4 linked regions of the Saccharomyces cerevisiae S288C genome follow. Changing the gene in region 4 together with the main gene of any one other region gives a genetic interaction. Each region holds a gene or a part of one and is shown on either strand. Other genes may lie near its edges.

What was found.
Region 1: mutations in UGA4 (region 4) and RPL27A impair growth when combined (synthetic growth defect), as found in Saccharomyces cerevisiae (one large-scale study listed by BioGRID).
Region 2: mutations in UGA4 (region 4) and HXT11 together harm fitness less than expected from each alone (positive genetic interaction), as found in Saccharomyces cerevisiae (one large-scale study listed by BioGRID).
Region 3: mutations in UGA4 (region 4) and MRX20 together harm fitness more than expected from each alone (negative genetic interaction), as found in Saccharomyces cerevisiae (one large-scale study listed by BioGRID).

Annotation. Positions count from the first base shown.
Region 1 is NC_001140.6:123,923-127,992, reverse strand, and holds RPL27A (60S ribosomal protein eL27 RPL27A), read right to left. Parts: upstream 1,473-4,070; coding exon 1,442-1,472; intron 881-1,441; coding exon 501-880; downstream 1-500. Other genes in the region: putative serine--tRNA ligase DIA4, read right to left, coding at 1-213; TDA3 (Tda3p), read left to right, coding at 2,313-3,884.
Region 2 is NC_001147.6:23,036-27,852, reverse strand, and holds HXT11 (hexose transporter HXT11), read right to left. Parts: upstream 2,581-4,817; coding exon 877-2,580; downstream 1-876. Other genes in the region: YOL155W-A (uncharacterized protein), read right to left, coding at 635-769; oligo-1,6-glucosidase IMA2, read left to right, coding at 3,559-4,817. UniProt on the Saccharomyces cerevisiae protein: Probable glucose transporter.
Region 3 is NC_001138.5:240,197-244,390, forward strand, and holds MRX20 (Mrx20p), read left to right. Parts: upstream 1-1,801; coding exon 1,802-1,813; intron 1,814-1,885; coding exon 1,886-2,803; downstream 2,804-4,194. Other genes in the region: DUG1 (metallodipeptidase), read right to left, coding at 1-1,241; centromere-binding protein CNN1, read right to left, coding at 2,878-3,963; BNA6 (nicotinate-nucleotide diphosphorylase (carboxylating)), read right to left, coding at 4,083-4,194.
Region 4 is NC_001136.10:81,767-86,801, reverse strand, and holds UGA4 (Uga4p), read right to left. Parts: upstream 2,533-5,035; coding exon 817-2,532; downstream 1-816. Other genes in the region: active spliceosome conformation promoter CWC2, read left to right, coding at 1-595. UniProt on the Saccharomyces cerevisiae protein: Required for high-affinity, high-specificity GABA transport. Also transports putrescine.

The sequences.
Region 1 (4,070 bases), on a different chromosome or scaffold from region 4:
ATCCGCAATAACTTTATCAATCTCTTTTATATTTTGATACCGTTCACCCAACAGTTGTAAGCTTCGTATAATACTATCCGCCTCTATCAGCTCTCTATTCTGGATAGAAGTTTGGTACTGAGGAATCATCTCTATTATTTTTTTTACATCAAATTGAGGTTTCTTCAAGAAGAATGAGCGATTTGAAATTGAAAATAAGCGCCTTATAATCATTGCTGTTTAAAATCTTGTCTTGTTCAGTGTCTGTAAAACGTATTACAAAGCTGTTTGCTTAATGCTTCCATTATATATTATCGTTCCCCTTTACCGCGTTATGATTCGTTTTGTCGTTAAGGTTGAAAACACCAGCAAACAATTTTTTTGAAGAAAAACCCCATTTGCGTATACTTATATGTAGATATATTTTATTAATATTTAATCATTGTTTACATACATTAAATATACATATGTTGATATTACTAATAATTTTTTGATTTTTGGTTGACCATAATGCAATTCTCTTAAAATCTCAACTTAGAGAAGAACCATTGGTTCTTACCAGCTTGGTGTCTTTCTTCGAAAGCCTTCTTGACGACTTTCTTAGCTTCTTCACGTTGGGAAGGTTGTTCGAAAGTTTCAGTAGAAACAACGGATTTGAAAGCTTCAACATCTAAAGTGTATCTGGTTGGCAATAAATGGTTGTAGTTGACGACCTTGATGAAAGGCTTGATCTTGGTTCTCTTAGCAACCTTCTTGGCACCGTGCTTCTTGGTGACCTTCAATGGGTATCTTTCAATACCGGCAACCAAAGCGTGACCAAATGGGTGAGACTTGGAACCTTCATCATGTGGTTTAACGATAACAACCTTCTTACCGGCGTAACGACCACGGACAACGACAGCTGTGTAAAAAAAGGAAGGAAAAGAAATAGTTAGTAAATGTGAACCCTTCTTAAAGTTTGGCGAATTCTCAATTTTGTTCTTCAATACTAGGGAGAGAAAAATTATCATAGGCCCACGAATTTTTAATAGGGCATGGAAAGAACTACAGTAAATAAAAGGCCCTGGTCGCCTGCGTACATGTGCCTATGGTCTTAGCAAATATATCGCGGAACTTTCACCATCTTATTTGGTGGCTATTGATGCTTTTTTCTTTTAAATTACAACTTTTTGATAACCCTTCCACTGCCTCGTATAGCTCAATGAATATGAATAATCGTTAGTTTCGCTCCTAAATCATTCATCTTTTTGTCCAATATTTCTATTAATAAGCTATCATTCAAATTTAAAGGTTTTTTCCCAGATCTAACATCTCCACGCTTTTTCCTCCCTACTCCCATATGAAGATACAATACTCGAATTCAAACTCAAATTATACAACATCAACTGCTAATAACTTGGATTTCTAATACCACAGTTGCACGGTTTTTTGTTGATGTCCAAAAACTGAAAATGATACGTACCAACTTTACCAGCTTTCAAGAACTTAGCCATTTTTTTCTTTGGTTATGCTTTTGTTTTAACACGTTGAGACTATCTAAGAAATTCTAAAAATCTAATATATCTTTAATTTTAGCTCAAAACTACGGCAGTATGTTTTACATGAACGAACACTTTACTAGTGAAAAGAATTTCAGGAAACCTGCCTTCGGGCGAATCTCTGCAGCAAGAGCGTAGGCGGAGCTCTGCTGGAAAGACTTTGTCTCAGACAGTTCTGTCGTGATGGGAGAACTGAGCGGATCACTCCCATTAGTTTGAGAGGAACTTCTCTCCGCAGCCTTGATTCTGCCTCGGGACTCCACCTGGAATATTGTTATCGGCTCTTTCAAGAAATACAGGACTCATAAGGTGAAAAAAAAAAAAACAGTGTAGGTGCAACAGCAAAAAATGTAAAGATGTAGGTGTACGGATGCATTAACGTCTTTCGAGGCCCTTTCCATTCTTCCGTGAAAAATATTCACTGAACGTATAATATGAGACGGTTCCGTCCGAGTCCCCTTAGCTGGAATCGTGTAAGCCAATTTATCAATACATGCAGCCTTGGTGCTTTTGTGCGTCTATCCCCTACATGCATAAGATTACGTATGAATGAAAAAAGCACGACATAGAAGTGAAACCATATCTGTAACCTGGCACACGTACTACAAAAGTTATATTGTTCCTTTTTTTTTTTTTTTTTTTTCTATTGTTAAATCAAGACTTAAAAAAAATCAGCCAACAAGTAATTCTGTTTGATAGTTCAAGTCACTCAGCAAAAGATTTTCGTGCTCTCCAATACACCATCTAAGTATCAATAGCATTTTAACCAAGCAACAGAAGGAATAGTGTTTATAAATGGGTGAAGATTTTATGCACCCACCGTTTCAAACGTACCCTTCAAAGAACAGCGAAGGGAAAAAACATATTGTCATTGTAGGTGGCGGTATCATCGGTTGCTGTACTGCTTACTACTTGACCCAGCATCCAAGTTTCAGCCCTTCGACGCATCATATTACCATCATTGAATCGAGGCGCATTGCTGGAGGGGCTTCTGGTAAAGCAGGTGGCTTGCTTGCATCTTGGGCTTTCCCTCACCAAATCGTACCTTTAAGTTTCCAGCTACATCAGGAGTTGAGTGATGAATATGATGGAGAAAACAACTGGGACTACAGAAGATTGACGACTGTGTCCTTAGAAGCAGATGTTCGCGAAGAAGTCATTGAAAACTACGAAAGACTGAGCAAGAAGGCATATAATCTGAATGTCCCTCCTCCAAAGAAGAGACCGGGCTACATATCCAACAAGTTTAACATCGGGGACTCTAATTCATCTTTGAGTTCTTCGGGCTCTTCTTTGAAAAACGACTCCGCTAGTAACGAGGAAGAAGGATCAGACATTCATGTTTCTAGCTCAGTACCCAGTTTACACTCTCTAACAAATGAGCGCATGAGAAGCCACACAAATAGCGCATCTGATCTTGACTCTGTAAGTCCCGTGGAGCAACTGAGAGAGACTAATATCCATAATCCTTTGCCTGCTGATTTAGATTGGATAAGAAGAGAATTGGTTAATGATTGGTCATCACTAGGTGGTACTGATACCACAGCGCAGCTTCATCCCTATAAATTCACCCATTTCATCTTATCGAAGGCAATGGAAACAGGTGCTGTCGATCTTCTCCTAGGTAAGGTAGTTGGGCTAAAGTGTGACGAGATGGATTGTGTTCATTCTCTTAAGTACCTTCCATCTGTCGTCAAGAATCGCAGAAATAGCAGAGGGCATGCAGAAAATCCAGACATTAAGCTGGGTACAATCTTCAACGATGAGAACGCGAAGCCCATTGAAATCAATGACATCCAGCAGATTGTTTTGAGTATGGGACCCTGGACTTCCAAGATTCTAAAAGATTGTCCAATTTCTGGATTGAGAGCCCACTCTGTCACCATTAAGCCTAGTGAAAAGACAGTTTCACCTTACGCTATTCTTGCTGAACTAAAAGTTAACGACCGTGAATTTTTCTCCCCTGAAATGTATGCTAGAAAAGATGAAGTTTATGTGTGCGGCGAAGGCGACACTTTAGTCAATATACCTGAAAGTTCGGACGATGTGGAGGTAGTTTCGGAGAAGTGTGATGAATTGTACCATTACGTATCCAAATTATCGCCAACTCTATCAAAGGGCCATCTCTTGCGGAAACAAGCCTGTTTTTTGCCAGTTTTAAACGTTCCTACAAGTTCTGGTCCCTTAATTGGTGAGACAAATGTCAAGGATCTTTATATTGCAAGTGGACATTCTTGTTGGGGTATTAACAATGCGCCAGCAACAGGTAAATTAATGGCTGAGATTCTCCTTGATGGCGAAGCAACCTCTGCGGAAATCTCAAGTTTGGATCCAAAGTTATATTTCGACGCCACCATCCTTTCTTAATCAAGCCGAGGAGTAAAAAGGTCAAGAAAAGTATATGCACAAATTTGTACATATAAGAGCTTATTTATTTATATATTTAAAATTTCTGAGGCCATTTAATGTGTATATATTTAACGAATACCTAAATCTATATATTTCTTTTTTTTTTTTCTCTCTCTCTCTCTCTTTCTCTTTCTCTCTTGGCGT
Region 2 (4,817 bases), on a different chromosome or scaffold from region 4:
AGATTGAAATTCTGGTAACCTAATTGAGAAATCCCACGCATAATTGAGTTTTAACTTTCGAATTTTTCAGCAAGATAAATTAATGTCTCGCCCGGGCCATAGACAAAAGAAGAAAATCTATAAACATTCCGTGGATCGCCATGTGATATTTCTATTTAATATAGGCACATGGCTATGGCGAAACCTTAATGTGATACTTATGGTACATATATGTAACATGCTATAGTTACAGTAAGGATTGGCAACTTAATTCGTTTCCTTCGATTTTATACTCTTCGAACGTATTTGCAGTCATTGGCAGTAGAACATCATTTAGCACATCCAACGACTACCGTCGTTGTGCACGTGACACTCACCCCAATTGGACACTGACTTGAACTAAAATAACAGCGTGTCATATAGATAAGGAAGATAAATATATTGGAACTGGTAGTATCACATTTCCATCATGAAAAACCCAGTGTAGCCATATCGAAAATATCAGAAACGAGTGGTAACACGGAACCTATATATATTACATAGGCTGCAATGAGTATATTGATTCATGATATCGTAGCTGCTTGAACTATTTTTCAAGGCTTCAAAAAATATCATGGTATTATTAGCATGCAACTTGTGAAAAAATAAATATGCATTACAGTACAAGGATCTGAGTGTTAGATTTATAGTCGGGCCTAGTTGCACTCTTAATAATACGGTATACATAATAATGGATTGCCATCCGACAACTATAGCCAGTCACGCATTTATTGAAGCTTCCATAAAACATTCATTAGAAATTAAAGGGTACAAAAGTAAAAACATTATGTATAATAGAGAATTAGTTTCGTCAATTTTTTTTTTTGCTTTTTTACCAATTTACCGAAAACTAGAAGATCAGCTGGAAAAGAACCTCTTGTAAATTGGTCTATTGTCATGATCTATTGCATCAGCATCGTAATCTGCGGTTCTTCTCTCCGGTGGCACCCATGAGGCCGATTTCCATGCTGGCACACCTTCCAGCCACATAGTATTCACCTCCTCCAGTGTCAGGCCTTTTGTTTCTGGGACAAAGAAAAAGACATAAAAGTATGCAAAAACCAGACAGCCTAAGAATACGTAACCGTAGTAAAAGTTGATTGCCCCGGTAATGAATGGGGTAAAGAAACTAATCAGGAAACCCCACATCCAGTTTGCAGCTGTTGCGATTGCCATTCCTCTTGATTTGACCCTAAGAGGAAACGTCTCTGAGACAATAACGTAACAGCCGCCTGCCCAAGTGGTGGCGAACGAAAAAATGAAGAACATAGTAAACACAATCATACAGTTACCGGCGCCCTGAGAAGTAATGTCTTGGTGACTGCTTCCTTGAGGCCACAACTTTGTCACACCGACGGAGGCAAACACAGCAAAGCAGCATAGCATAGAAGCAGCACCCCACAATAGACACGTACGGCGTCCAAACCTCTCAATGGTGTATACCGCTATGAATGAAGAGAAAAAATTAACCACACCGATAATGATCGAAGTCTGAAAGGAGTCCTTTAGACCGACAGATTTGAAGATGGTGGTACCGTAGTAAAAGAAGTAGTTGTCACCGGTTAATTGCTGCAGCGATTGGATCATCACTCCCATGAGAACACGCTGAAAGACCTTTGTTTTAGTGGAGAGTAGTTCAGACCATGATGCGTTACCTGCCAGCTTTTCAAGTTCAATTCCTGCCTTTATAGTGTCATATTCAACTAGCAAGGCTGGATCGTCAACTGAGACTTTGTTGGATTTCGATAGTGAACGTTTCGCTTCCTCATCTTTACCAACCTCAATCAGGTAACGTGGTGATTCTGGTACAAACATCATTCCACTAACCATGAATGTAGCCCAGGCAAAGCAAAGACCAAGGCCGACTCTCCATTGAGTGGCGTTGTGATAGTTCTTGGTACCGTAATTGGTACAGTATCCTAGAAAAATACCCATCGTACCCATCAGCTGGTACAATTGGACCAGAGTTCCTCTGATATGTTTGGGAGCAACTTCAGATATCAACATTGGGGAAAGGACAGCAATGCCTCCCACTCCTAGGCCAGAAATAATTCTTCCAATGAAGTATTGGTACCACTTGTTTATGGAAGTTATTTGGATTAGGATGCCTACAACGTAAATGGCAGTAACTGTAATCAATCCAATACGACGACCATATATATCACCGACTTTTGACAAGACAATTCCGCCTATGGCGCAGCCAATGTTGAATATTGAGACGATCAAACCCATTCTTACTTTCGATAAGTAGTAGGTTCCCTTGTCATTTTTTTGACCGAACCTTCTGATGAAATCAGAAAGGTTAACAAAACCAGAAATGGTACCGGTATCCCAACCAAAGATGAAGCCGCCAAATGCAATCATCAAACACAGGATTGCGACGGTGGTATACGCAGAGAGGGGTTTTTGAGGTAAGTCAATAGGTGGCTCATTGGCATCTAGGTTAAGGGAATTTTTAGAGTCACCGTGTTCAGTCTTAACAGAGGGAGCGCCTACTGCTGAGTTAGAGTTAGACATGGTAGTAGATAACTCATTTGCGGATGTATTATTAACACCTGACATGATATTGAGTAATAACAAAAGCGTTTAGAACTAAATTGTGCAATGATTATTTTTTTCAACTCATACCAAAAAAAGAAGAAGAAAAAGATAGGAACAAGTGTGCTCTTCTCTAGTTACACAACTGTGACATTATATACCTTTAATTAGCGAAAAAGAGGAACTGAGAAAGATGAGCCTAGACCTTAAGAGCTAAGTAGTATACGGTGTGTCGAACTGCTACTGATACTTTGAACGAAGGTGTCCGAGTGTATGCATTGTTCGTGTGGTCAGCATTTATTGTGGAGGAGGCGGTTTCATCTACAATTTCCGACGCCTGATTTTCCACGGATATAATTTATTTTTTGACACCTGGAGTTTACATTTCACAAAATTTCTTTCTTTTTTAGTTTTGCACTGATTTCCCCTGAAATAAAGAAAAAAAAGAAAAAGAAGGTTTTGTGAAGTGCCAAGGGATGCACGAGAAAAGCACTTATAACTCGCACGGAGAAATGATTATGTAATTTTCGCGGAGAAATGATTATGTAATTCCGCGGAGAAATGGTTATGTAATTTTTGTGGGGAACTGAACAAGGTCAGTTTACGCTTCGTACTTTGTCGTGGGACTACGTATACGCAAGATTGCGGAGGCAGTGCAATAATGGGGTCTGCTTGCAGATGGTATGATCTGCTATAACGGGCCAAGGGCCAGGCACGCTCTTGCAGAACATACCATGTTATATCATGTAGGTTGTGCAAACATTACCTAAAACTGAAAGCTTCGTTTACATACAGCACTCCTTCCAGATCCTAAATTTACTTTGTTCTTTTCTTATTTTCGATCATTCGTAAGACGTCCATAGGCACGTAAAAGACATATATAAGTAAGAAAGACTTCTTCACTCGAGGAATTAGCTGTACTAGAATATATGTTCCATTCACCAGTCCAAACACACAAACAAAAGTGAAAGTTTTTTCATAAAGAAAAGAAAGCAACGTACAATGACTATTTCTTCTGCACATCCAGAAACAGAACCCAAGTGGTGGAAAGAGGCCACAATCTATCAAATTTATCCCGCAAGTTTCAAAGACTCCAACAACGATGGGTGGGGTGATATGAAGGGTATTGCCTCCAAGTTGGAGTATATCAAAGAGCTTGGTGCCGATGCCATTTGGATCTCACCATTCTACGACTCGCCACAAGATGATATGGGTTACGATATTGCCAACTACGAAAAGGTCTGGCCAACCTACGGTACGAACGAGGACTGCTTTGCCTTGATCGAAAAGACACATAAGCTTGGTATGAAATTTATCACCGACTTAGTCATCAACCATTGCTCGAGCGAACATGAATGGTTCAAAGAGAGCAGATCCTCAAAAACCAATCCAAAACGTGACTGGTTCTTCTGGAGACCTCCTAAGGGTTATGACGCCGAAGGCAAGCCAATTCCTCCAAACAATTGGAGGTCTTACTTCGGTGGTTCTGCATGGACGTTCGATGAAAAGACACAAGAGTTTTACTTGCGTTTGTTTTGCTCCACCCAACCTGATTTGAATTGGGAGAATGAGGACTGTAGAAAGGCAATCTACGAAAGTGCCGTTGGATACTGGTTAGACCATGGTGTAGACGGCTTTAGAATTGATGTGGGAAGCTTGTACTCCAAGGTTGCTGGTCTACCAGACGCTCCTGTGATTGACGAAAACTCAAAGTGGCAACCCAGTGATCCTTTCACAATGAACGGACCACGTATCCATGAGTTTCATCAAGAAATGAACAAGTTCATCAGAAACAGAGTGAAGGATGGCAGAGAAATTATGACAGTTGGTGAAATGCAACATGCTACTGATGAAACCAAGAGGTTGTATACAAGTGCATCAAGACACGAACTTAGTGAGTTATTCAACTTTTCCCACACTGATGTCGGGACTTCGCCCAAGTTCCGTCAAAATTTGATCCCATATGAACTAAAGGATTGGAAGGTTGCCCTTGCTGAACTTTTCAGATACGTTAACGGAACTGATTGTTGGTCAACAATTTATCTGGAAAATCACGACCAACCTCGTTCAATTACCAGATTTGGTGACGATTCTCCTAAGAACCGTGTTATTTCTGGTAAGTTGTTGTCTGTGTTGTTGGTGTCACTGAGCGGTACTCTATATGTGTACCAAGGACAGGAACTGGGTGAAATCAATTTCAAGAACTGGCCTATCGAAAAATACGAGGATGTCGAAGTTAGAAATAACTATGATGCGATCAA
Region 3 (4,194 bases), on a different chromosome or scaffold from region 4:
GGATCGACACCATAGACCAGTTTTGTGGCCTTTTTAGCAGCAGTAAATTGGGCGTTGAATGGATCAGAAACCCAATAAGCACCATCATGGATCAATTCTGTTCTGCACTTGTTTGGAGAGTTCAAGGACTTGAATTTGGCATCACAATGCTTCTGGACCAAAGAGGTCAGTTTCTCAGAATCCATGTCGGGGACGGTTCTAATGGAAAACTTACCGAAGACCTTAGCTGGAATGACAGTCTTTGCACCTTGAGCGGAAAAGGCGCCTTCCACACCATGAATGGACAACGAAGGATACCTCCATCTGTGCATCAAGATGTCTTCCTTCTTGTCGTACAAACTTGTCTTAGAGCCAGTTGCAGCGTTCAATTCTTCGACGCTAAATTCGATATCCTTGTATAGAGCCTTCTCCTTTTCGGTTAGAGGAGCAACCATTTCGTCAATACCGTCAATCAGGATCTTACCCTTAGAATCCACAAGGGAACCGAGAACTTGCATTAAATCGATCATTGGTTCAGCAACAACACCACCAAAGATACCAGAGTGTAAATCTGCACTTGGACCCTCAATGATGGTTTGATAGTAGTTGCAACCTCTTAGACCATAAGTCAAAACAGGCTTCTTAGTGCCTAGCCAGTAATTATCGGAAATACAAACGGCATCTACACCTTTAAAGTAACCATTAGCTTCCTTTTTAATCAATTCATCCAATTTCAAAGAACCACTTTCCTCCATTCCTTCGAAACAAGTAACTAAGTTAACGGGGAATTCTTGTCCGGAGGCTTTGAAGGCGTCCACAACGTTAATCCAAGATAATAAGGGACCAGTGTCATCGGTGACACCCCTTCCTTTCATGATACCTTTAGCCTCATCAATGACAAGCTTGAATGGCTCAGTATCCCAACCATCTTCCAATTGAGCAGGTTGCACATCATAGTGACCGTAAACCAACACAGTCTTTTTTGAAGGGTCGCTGCCGAACCTAGACAGAATCACAGGAGGTAGAGACAGATTTGGCGTAGAAATTGGTGGAGGTTGAATGCCCAGATCCACCATTTTAATGTCATGGAACCCCGATTGTGATAATTGCTCGGAGATAAACTTGGCCTTATCGAAGACTTTGGACCTTAGTGATTCATCCGAAGAAACAGCGGGGATTTGAATAGCCTTAGTCAGTCTGCTGAAGAACTGAGGCTTTAAAGAATCAATCTTTTGGAAAACGGAAGTAAGTGAGTGAGACATGCTTGTGTACGATGCTCTGGAGCAACTGAACTAACAATGAAGGGAGATTCAATTGATAAGAACAACATGTTGCTATTATAGTCTCTCTTTTTTTTTTGACACATTTTCTTGTAGCCGTTTTGAATGACGAATATAAGGGATATTGCTAAAATATGCTGTGGCATTGGTCAACTTAAAAGAATACGAATACTTATTCTAAAAGATGTGCTCGAGTATTTAACCCACCGATTGGCGCACAAAATGTGTTGTGGAGTTATCAATCACTCGAGGGATTTAATCGACTTCTTGTTTAGTTCGCCTTCGCTAGTCATAATAAAATCGACTTATTAATCCAAAAATTTCAAACTTTCTTGTCAACATAACTTCTGGAAAGGGTGTCAGAGGTTTTTCCTTCTTGCGTCTGCTGATTTTATTAGGTTGTTTAATTTAAAGGGCTTTGAACAGAAGTGGGAACTTCTTCCGCCTTATTAAGCTATTTTTCAATCGAATATAATTGAAAAAGTAATTGCTCTCACAGGTAGTCGAATCGTAAAAAAAGGGCAGTAAGAACAGCACCCGACATGGCTAACCAGGTAAGTAGTAAACTGTTTCGTTCCAAGACGCTAATGCTATTTTATTAACGCTCTCTTTTTTCTCGTTTGCAGAACTCTGACCTTTACAAGCAAATCACTGCCGGCAGTGTAGCTGCTGTGTTTCAAACGACAATGACATACCCATTTGAGTACTTAAAGACTGGTTTACAATTGCAACCGAAGGGTACCGCTTTCGAAATCATTTTACCTCAGATTAAGTCGTACTTTGTTGGCTGCTCTGCCCTAAACGTGGCCGCATTTGGTAAGACTATTTTAAGGTTCGTTACGTTCGACAAGTTATGCCACTCCCTGAATAATAACATTGATAATAATGATAATTTTCAAAGACTGACTGGTTATAACCTTTTGATCGCTGGTACGTTGACAGGAATAGTAGAAAGTTTGTTTATTATCCCTTTTGAAAACATAAAAACCACCCTTATCCAATCGGCGATGATCGATCATAAAAAATTAGAGAAGAATCAACCTGTAGTTAACGCAAAGGCAACCTTTCACAAGGTGGCGACTAAATCTACTCCTGTGGCTCGTATCGAGAAACTACTTCCAGCGGTAAAACACATGTATCAAACAAGAGGCCCTGCTGCGTTCGTCCAGGGAACAACAGCCACCATATTTAGGCAGATAGCTAACACCTCTATTCAATTTACTGCATACACAGCATTTAAACGGTTGTTACAAGCAAGAAACGACAAGGCATCCTCAGTAATAACGGGGTTAGCCACATCTTTTACACTCGTGGCAATGACTCAGCCCATTGACGTCGTAAAAACAAGGATGATGAGTCAAAATGCCAAAACTGAATATAAAAATACCTTAAATTGCATGTATAGAATATTTGTTCAAGAAGGCATGGCCACATTCTGGAAGGGCTCCATCTTTAGGTTTATGAAAGTCGGTATTTCAGGAGGCTTAACGTTCACTGTTTATGAACAGGTTAGTTTGTTACTAGGCTTCTCTTCCAGGTCTTGATAATTTTGTGGATCTTTTACTCTTTTCTGTACATAAATTGCCACTATTTAATTATTTTCTCTACGGTATCTTTTTTAGAACAAATAACTTTCAATTCTTGATTGAAGTTCTAAGGGAAGCAATTCGTGCGCGAGCTCAAACATATCATCAACGTTATTGATAATACCCATATCGATAAACGAATCTACCAATTCCTGTTTTTGTAACGTGCCGATTTTTTGTTTCAAGAAATCCATTATATTTAAAGATTCCTCCTGTATAGTAGACCACGTTTGTTTCGGCAATATTATCCTATTCTCATTCAAAAATTGCCTTGTAAGATGTTTTAGATCCATTATTTGCAGCGGTTTTATAGAAGAACGTCTCACCGCAGGGACATTTAAACGGATAGGATCGTTGCCTATATCATCCAAATTTTCGTCACTGGTGTTTTCAAACGAATAATCTTCGTTTTCTGCTTCTTCTGTCTCCTCTTTATCGTCGCTTGGTAAATCTTCAGATAGTGGTTCTTCCTGTTGCGTTATGGAAATTGGTACCGGATCACGTACTGGCGGTTCATCTACCTGATCCATTCCAATGCTTGGCGACGTGCGCAAAACTTCCATAGAGATACTGTTAGCTTTATCTGGAGAGTGCACTGTCAATTCATCCTCGTGTCCTGTCGTGGGAACATCTTGTATTATTATCGGGTCAATCTTCCTACTTTTCAAGCCTTTGTCTCTTTCCTGCAATTTTGCAAATACTGTTTGCGATAAGGAAGTATAATCAGGTTGCGTTTCATTGCCAATGTTGTTATCTGTCAGTTTCTCACTTCTGCTCCGAAGAAGCTCATTCTCCTCTGGTTGGCTCTCTTCGTACGCTAATTCATCTATTAGATTCCGTGCTTGAGTTTTATTAGTAGTTGTATCGTTGCCTTGTGATTTGCGTGCTAACACTTGGCTTAAGTCTTGTAAAAAACTTCGTACTTCGTTCGGATCTTTATTGAGGATGTCATGAGACTTAGTAGAAGCAGATAAAAGTTTTCTATAACCTGGCGTATTTCTGATCAGTACCTCATCCTTGAGACGTTGTTCTTCAAGGGCTCTCTCCCGAAAGGGGGTTCTGATCTCTGAGACTTCTGTATTCTCGTTGTTACCGGCGGCCTTCCTGGGAGTGCTCATTATTCATTTCTTATTTCGTTACTAATCGTCGTGTGTGTCATTAATCGGTAACGCGTAGCTTCTTAATCTTATTTAGAATATGTAAATAAAAAAAAGTAAAAATCGAAGCCTAAGCATTTTCAATGAGCCAGTTTCAATGAGAAATCAATCACTGGTGTGCCTTGATGAATGCTACTAGTGCTGTAAATGTCAATGTCATCGCACAAATACTCCTCGAGGTTGTCCAAATTC
Region 4 (5,035 bases):
TGATGGAGCATTGAATAGCAAGCATTTGAAGCCAGCTCAGATAGAAAGCAGAATTCGATTTGTATTTTCTCGATTGGGTGATATTGATAGAATACGATACGTTGAGAGCAAAAACTGTGGATTTGTGAAGTTTAAATATCAAGCTAATGCAGAATTTGCCAAAGAAGCCATGAGCAATCAGACATTGCTGCTACCCAGCGATAAAGAATGGGATGATAGAAGGGAGGGTACTGGACTATTGGTGAAATGGGCAAATGAAGATCCAGACCCCGCTGCACAGAAAAGACTGCAAGAAGAACTGAAGTTAGAGTCTTTAAACATGATGGTGCATCTAATCAATAACAATACCAATAGTGCTGGCACTGAGGTTAATAATAAGAATAATGAAAGGTTAGACAGGACATTTCCAGAAGCAAGTGTTGATAATGTCAAGAAAAGACTATTGCCATTAGATAATGGAATGGAGAGTGATGATTTTATAGAAAAATTGAAGAAAGTGAAAAAAAATATCAGTAGAGAAAATATTTCATCAAAGCCATCTGTTGGTAAGCTTGGTGGTCCCTTGCTCGATTACCTCTCCTCTGATGAGGATTAGAGAAGAAAATCGTTTCCACCAAATTCTAAGTATCTGCCATTAACATTCCCGCTGAGCTGATCATAAATTATCCGCGCTTCTTGATTTTTATGTTTGGGCGCAGAAAACAAGCTAAAACGGTGAGATAGGATAAACTATAATATAATTAAATTAAAAATACTGACTATATAAGCTAGACCTTATAAACTCTGAATATAAAATCTTTATAAAGGTTTGAACATTTATGGTTCCTGTTTGGACATAATTGTGTCGATAACATCAGCACCAACGGCTTCAGTATAATCATCATCCGACAAATTGGTTGCTGGACCGTGGTAGTATTTCTTCTTGTAAACTTTGTAGTAGATACCTGCAAGGATCCAGATACCGGGACCAATAACGCATGCATAATTCATTGTGGATTTAGTAATACCATGTTGTTGAGAGGGGAACATAACCAAAATAATAATGAACAATTGGAAAGCAACACCTGTCCAAGCAACAATTGGAGACCAGATTTTACCCAAATAAAATGGACCAGGTCTAAATAAATCTCTACCTGATGTTAAACGGAAAACTGTAGGGGTACTCCATGCCAAATTGTTTCCTGCAACAGCCAGACTAAATAATGCATCAGTGGCGGCATCATCAATCAAACATAACAATCCTAAAATCAAGGAACCTACACAGGCAGCCAAAATAGCGAAAAAAGGGACCGAGTATTTAGAATCCACTCTTTTAATATACTTTGATAGGGGCAAACCGTTATCACGGGAAAATGCCCAAACTTGTCTAGAAACAGCTGTGGTAATGGAAGCACCCATTAGAAATTGACAGAATGCGATCAATGACATAAATGCAATGGCCCATTTTTTTCCTAACGAATCATAAATTATTTGAGCCAAAGCAAAGCCGTACTTGGAGTCCAAAACGCTGTCAATATCAGGGTTGATACAGGCCATTAAACAAATAATAATCAACCAACCTAAAATCCAACAAACAGCAATAGATGAGATTATACCAATGGGGACTGATTTCTTGGCATCTTTGGCTTCTTCAGATTGATGGACACATGAATCAAAGGAACCAATAGTCCAGACAGCAGGCATGAAACCAGCAAGACAAAATTGCCAACCATTATTCCAGTCACTTAAGTTTTCATATTTCCCAAATATAAAGTCACCATCATTGAAACCTCCCATTCTATGCTTGGTACCAATCGGTAGCGCAATGAACAATAAAACAATAATGAAAAGATTGGCAAATATACTTAGCGTCTGCAGACGAGCAATGGCCCCAGAAGCAACACATGTACAAATACACATAACCACCACTGCTCCAGCAAATATACCGTAAAGTTTCCCACTCGTTACTTCAAAATTTCCATCTTTGGTTAATGTGACAGCAGCAGCAATTTCCTCAGCCAAACCGTAATCAATGGAACACACACCGGCTGCCAACGCTAGGGAGTTTGAGCAACCAATAATAAAAGAAATAATCTCTTTATAACCTTCTGGAGCATAGTAATACGTCCAGTAGTACAAACCACCAGCGGTAGGAATGGAACTTGCATGTTCAGCCATGGTAATACCCACCAGTAAAATGAAAAACGCAGCAACGAACCAACCCCACACTAATGTTGCTGGACCACCACCGAGCCCACCACCCATCACAGATGCAATGGAGGGCAATAGACCCATAATGGAGAACGCAATACCGAAAACTTGTAATGTTGAAAATTGTCTTTTTAATTCTTGTTTATAACCGATCTCTGCAAGCAGTTGGTTATCATTTACAGATTTAGCAGCATCGATATAGTTCACTTCACCGGCACCAGTCTTGGAGCGAATCGACCTTAGGTTAGACCCAAGGCCTTGTAACTGGTAAGCCTGACCGATATCAGTGGATATTCTTTGTTCTACTGATATCTTATTCTCGTTTTTGCTTGACATACTCATTGTTAGTAATAATAAATTATAAGACCTTGTTACACTTCACAACTGAAGTAAACAGCTTATACTGTTTTATATAATCACAACAAGAAGGAAAGGACCATGCCAGTCAACAGAATACGTTTGAACTACTTCTTAATATATATGCATTTGTTATTCAAGAGTAAGCCGTATTCGCTATCATTATCACTGAGCACAATCTCACATCAAGATTCTAACCCAAAGAAGGAACTGATTACTGTGCCAAGCCGCGTTATCCGACTTAAAATTAGTAGGTTCTCCCCTTATTCGATAAACGTACATGGGTACGTGCACCGGTATTGGACCATCGAAGGCCCTCACCTCCATGGTAATAGATTGCAAAATCCAACATGACATAAAACATCTCGAAATTGCCGCCGGCGGTTTTTGGCGCACGATAAGCGATAAGCGATTAGCGATAAGAGTACCTTAGTAAGATGCCTAGGAAAAAGAAAATAAGATACGCAAGCCGCGGTTAAACAATGATATAGAGTTGCCTGATCAGTAACCACTAAAGAGAAAAATAGATCCCAAAAAATCAATCATTTCAATGATTGAAGAAATTGTCATTCACAATAAACACTGGAAATGAGTGCAAAGTGGAAAACAATGTGGAAAAAGAAAAAAAATTAAACTTGCGCAAGCCCGGAATCGAACCGGGGGCCCAACGATGGCAACGTTGGATTTTACCACTAAACCACTTGCGCTAAGTGAACTTGAAAACGGGAGCGTTGGATAACAACTAATACAAGACTGTTGACAACAATTCTGCGAGAGTAACTTGTCGTCAACACTTATTATCATTTTGAATCACAGAGGGTGCTTATCCTCTTGGAATAAATGGTCTACATCATTCTAAATGGTAGAAGCATGGAAGCCCAGACGTTAACGAGTTACACAGGTGTTTATATGTTTAGATTTATGTATGTAGCAACGCTAAGCTATCTCATCTTGAGATACAACACGAAAAATGGAATGAACAGATCACCTAACAGTTAAACCACTCTAACAGTTACTATTAGAGTGGTTAAATGTAAACTCTTGTGCAGTAAATAAGAACTAACCTTAAACCTTCACTAACGAAAGTGCTACTAAAAGGTACCTCAGCAATGGATTTCTGTTTCCAGACTGTTTTGAAAGTACAGGCCATTCATTATAATGACTGCGGTTTATTCAAGGCAAACCATCCGACATGCCTCAAGAGTTACTGGAAAATGAGGTGGTCTCCTTGTTATACAGAGACTGACTATTGCTTCGTCTCAAGCTTTGTAAAAGGTACCCACCCTTCTTGAAGTCACCAGAGTTAAAACCAACCTCTTGGTTTCGAGAGGTTGAAGTCTCTCAAAATGTAACATTTAACTATAACATCAGTCGTATGTTATTACTGGATGAAAGATACTGGTATCACTGCTCTTTGCTTCGCATGCTGTCACAAATTGTCGTTGTGAGCTCTCTTAGTTATTTGAATTAGTGATAAGATATTCACATATCTTACTTGCTTCTTCTTACATCAAAGAAAAAACATAAGCATGATAAATAAAAAATGCAAGATCCGCTCTCAAATTCTTTACAACGAATTCTTTGTTTAGACTAAACGATAAAGAAATTCTTCTGCAAACATAATCAAAGAAACTGTGCAGGAAATGAGAACGGCAAGAAAAATATTGGTGGTGCAGTTATGGACTGACTATCCGTATTCCGACATCAAAATGATACCGTACTTAGTAGATTTGCGCCATTCAAAATTAATACGTACCTGGGCTCCACCGCCACAAATTCCCGCGACGTTTATCTCTCCCCTATGCAGCATTAATATCTTCTAAAAAAAAAAAAAATTTACAAAACACCTAATCCAATCATTTCACCAGATTACCGAAGCGTTTGCGTTAAATGTCCTGCTACGGCAATCGACAAAGTAGACCCACTCTATTACTACTGTTTGTTTGGTACTTAAATTGCTTTTTGTTAGCGAAGAGATATCGACGATGCACACGTTATTGATAAACATCATATACGCAAAGCTTCGAATTAAAAACATATTCTTGAGAACAGGTAAATTCCTTGAGCATAAATCATCAAAAAAAGAAAATAAATTCTGGAAGCGGATTAAGTGTGTGATCTCATAGAACTGCCTTAAAAATCTTGAAGCCAGTCAAATTTTCCATAAATCCTTGGGTTCTACTCATGTAATCAAAGCGAGGATAGCCCACAACTTTCACAAGTTCGATTTCGCCAACAAATAAAACAGCTTAACTGCTTTGCTATGTTTCCTCAACAATCGAACTGGCTGACGAGTAGAAGTCTGGCATTATGTGGAATCACTCACTGCACCAGCTATCTCTCCAGTTACTAGTTGTATTCTCTGTCAGCAGTCGAAATGACTTTTTTAATATCAATATGGCAAAAAAGTAATACACACTGTTAAGAAGTTAACAAACATAGTAAATAGTGTTTCTCAAAGTGAAGCCATTTTTGAAAAATCCAGTTC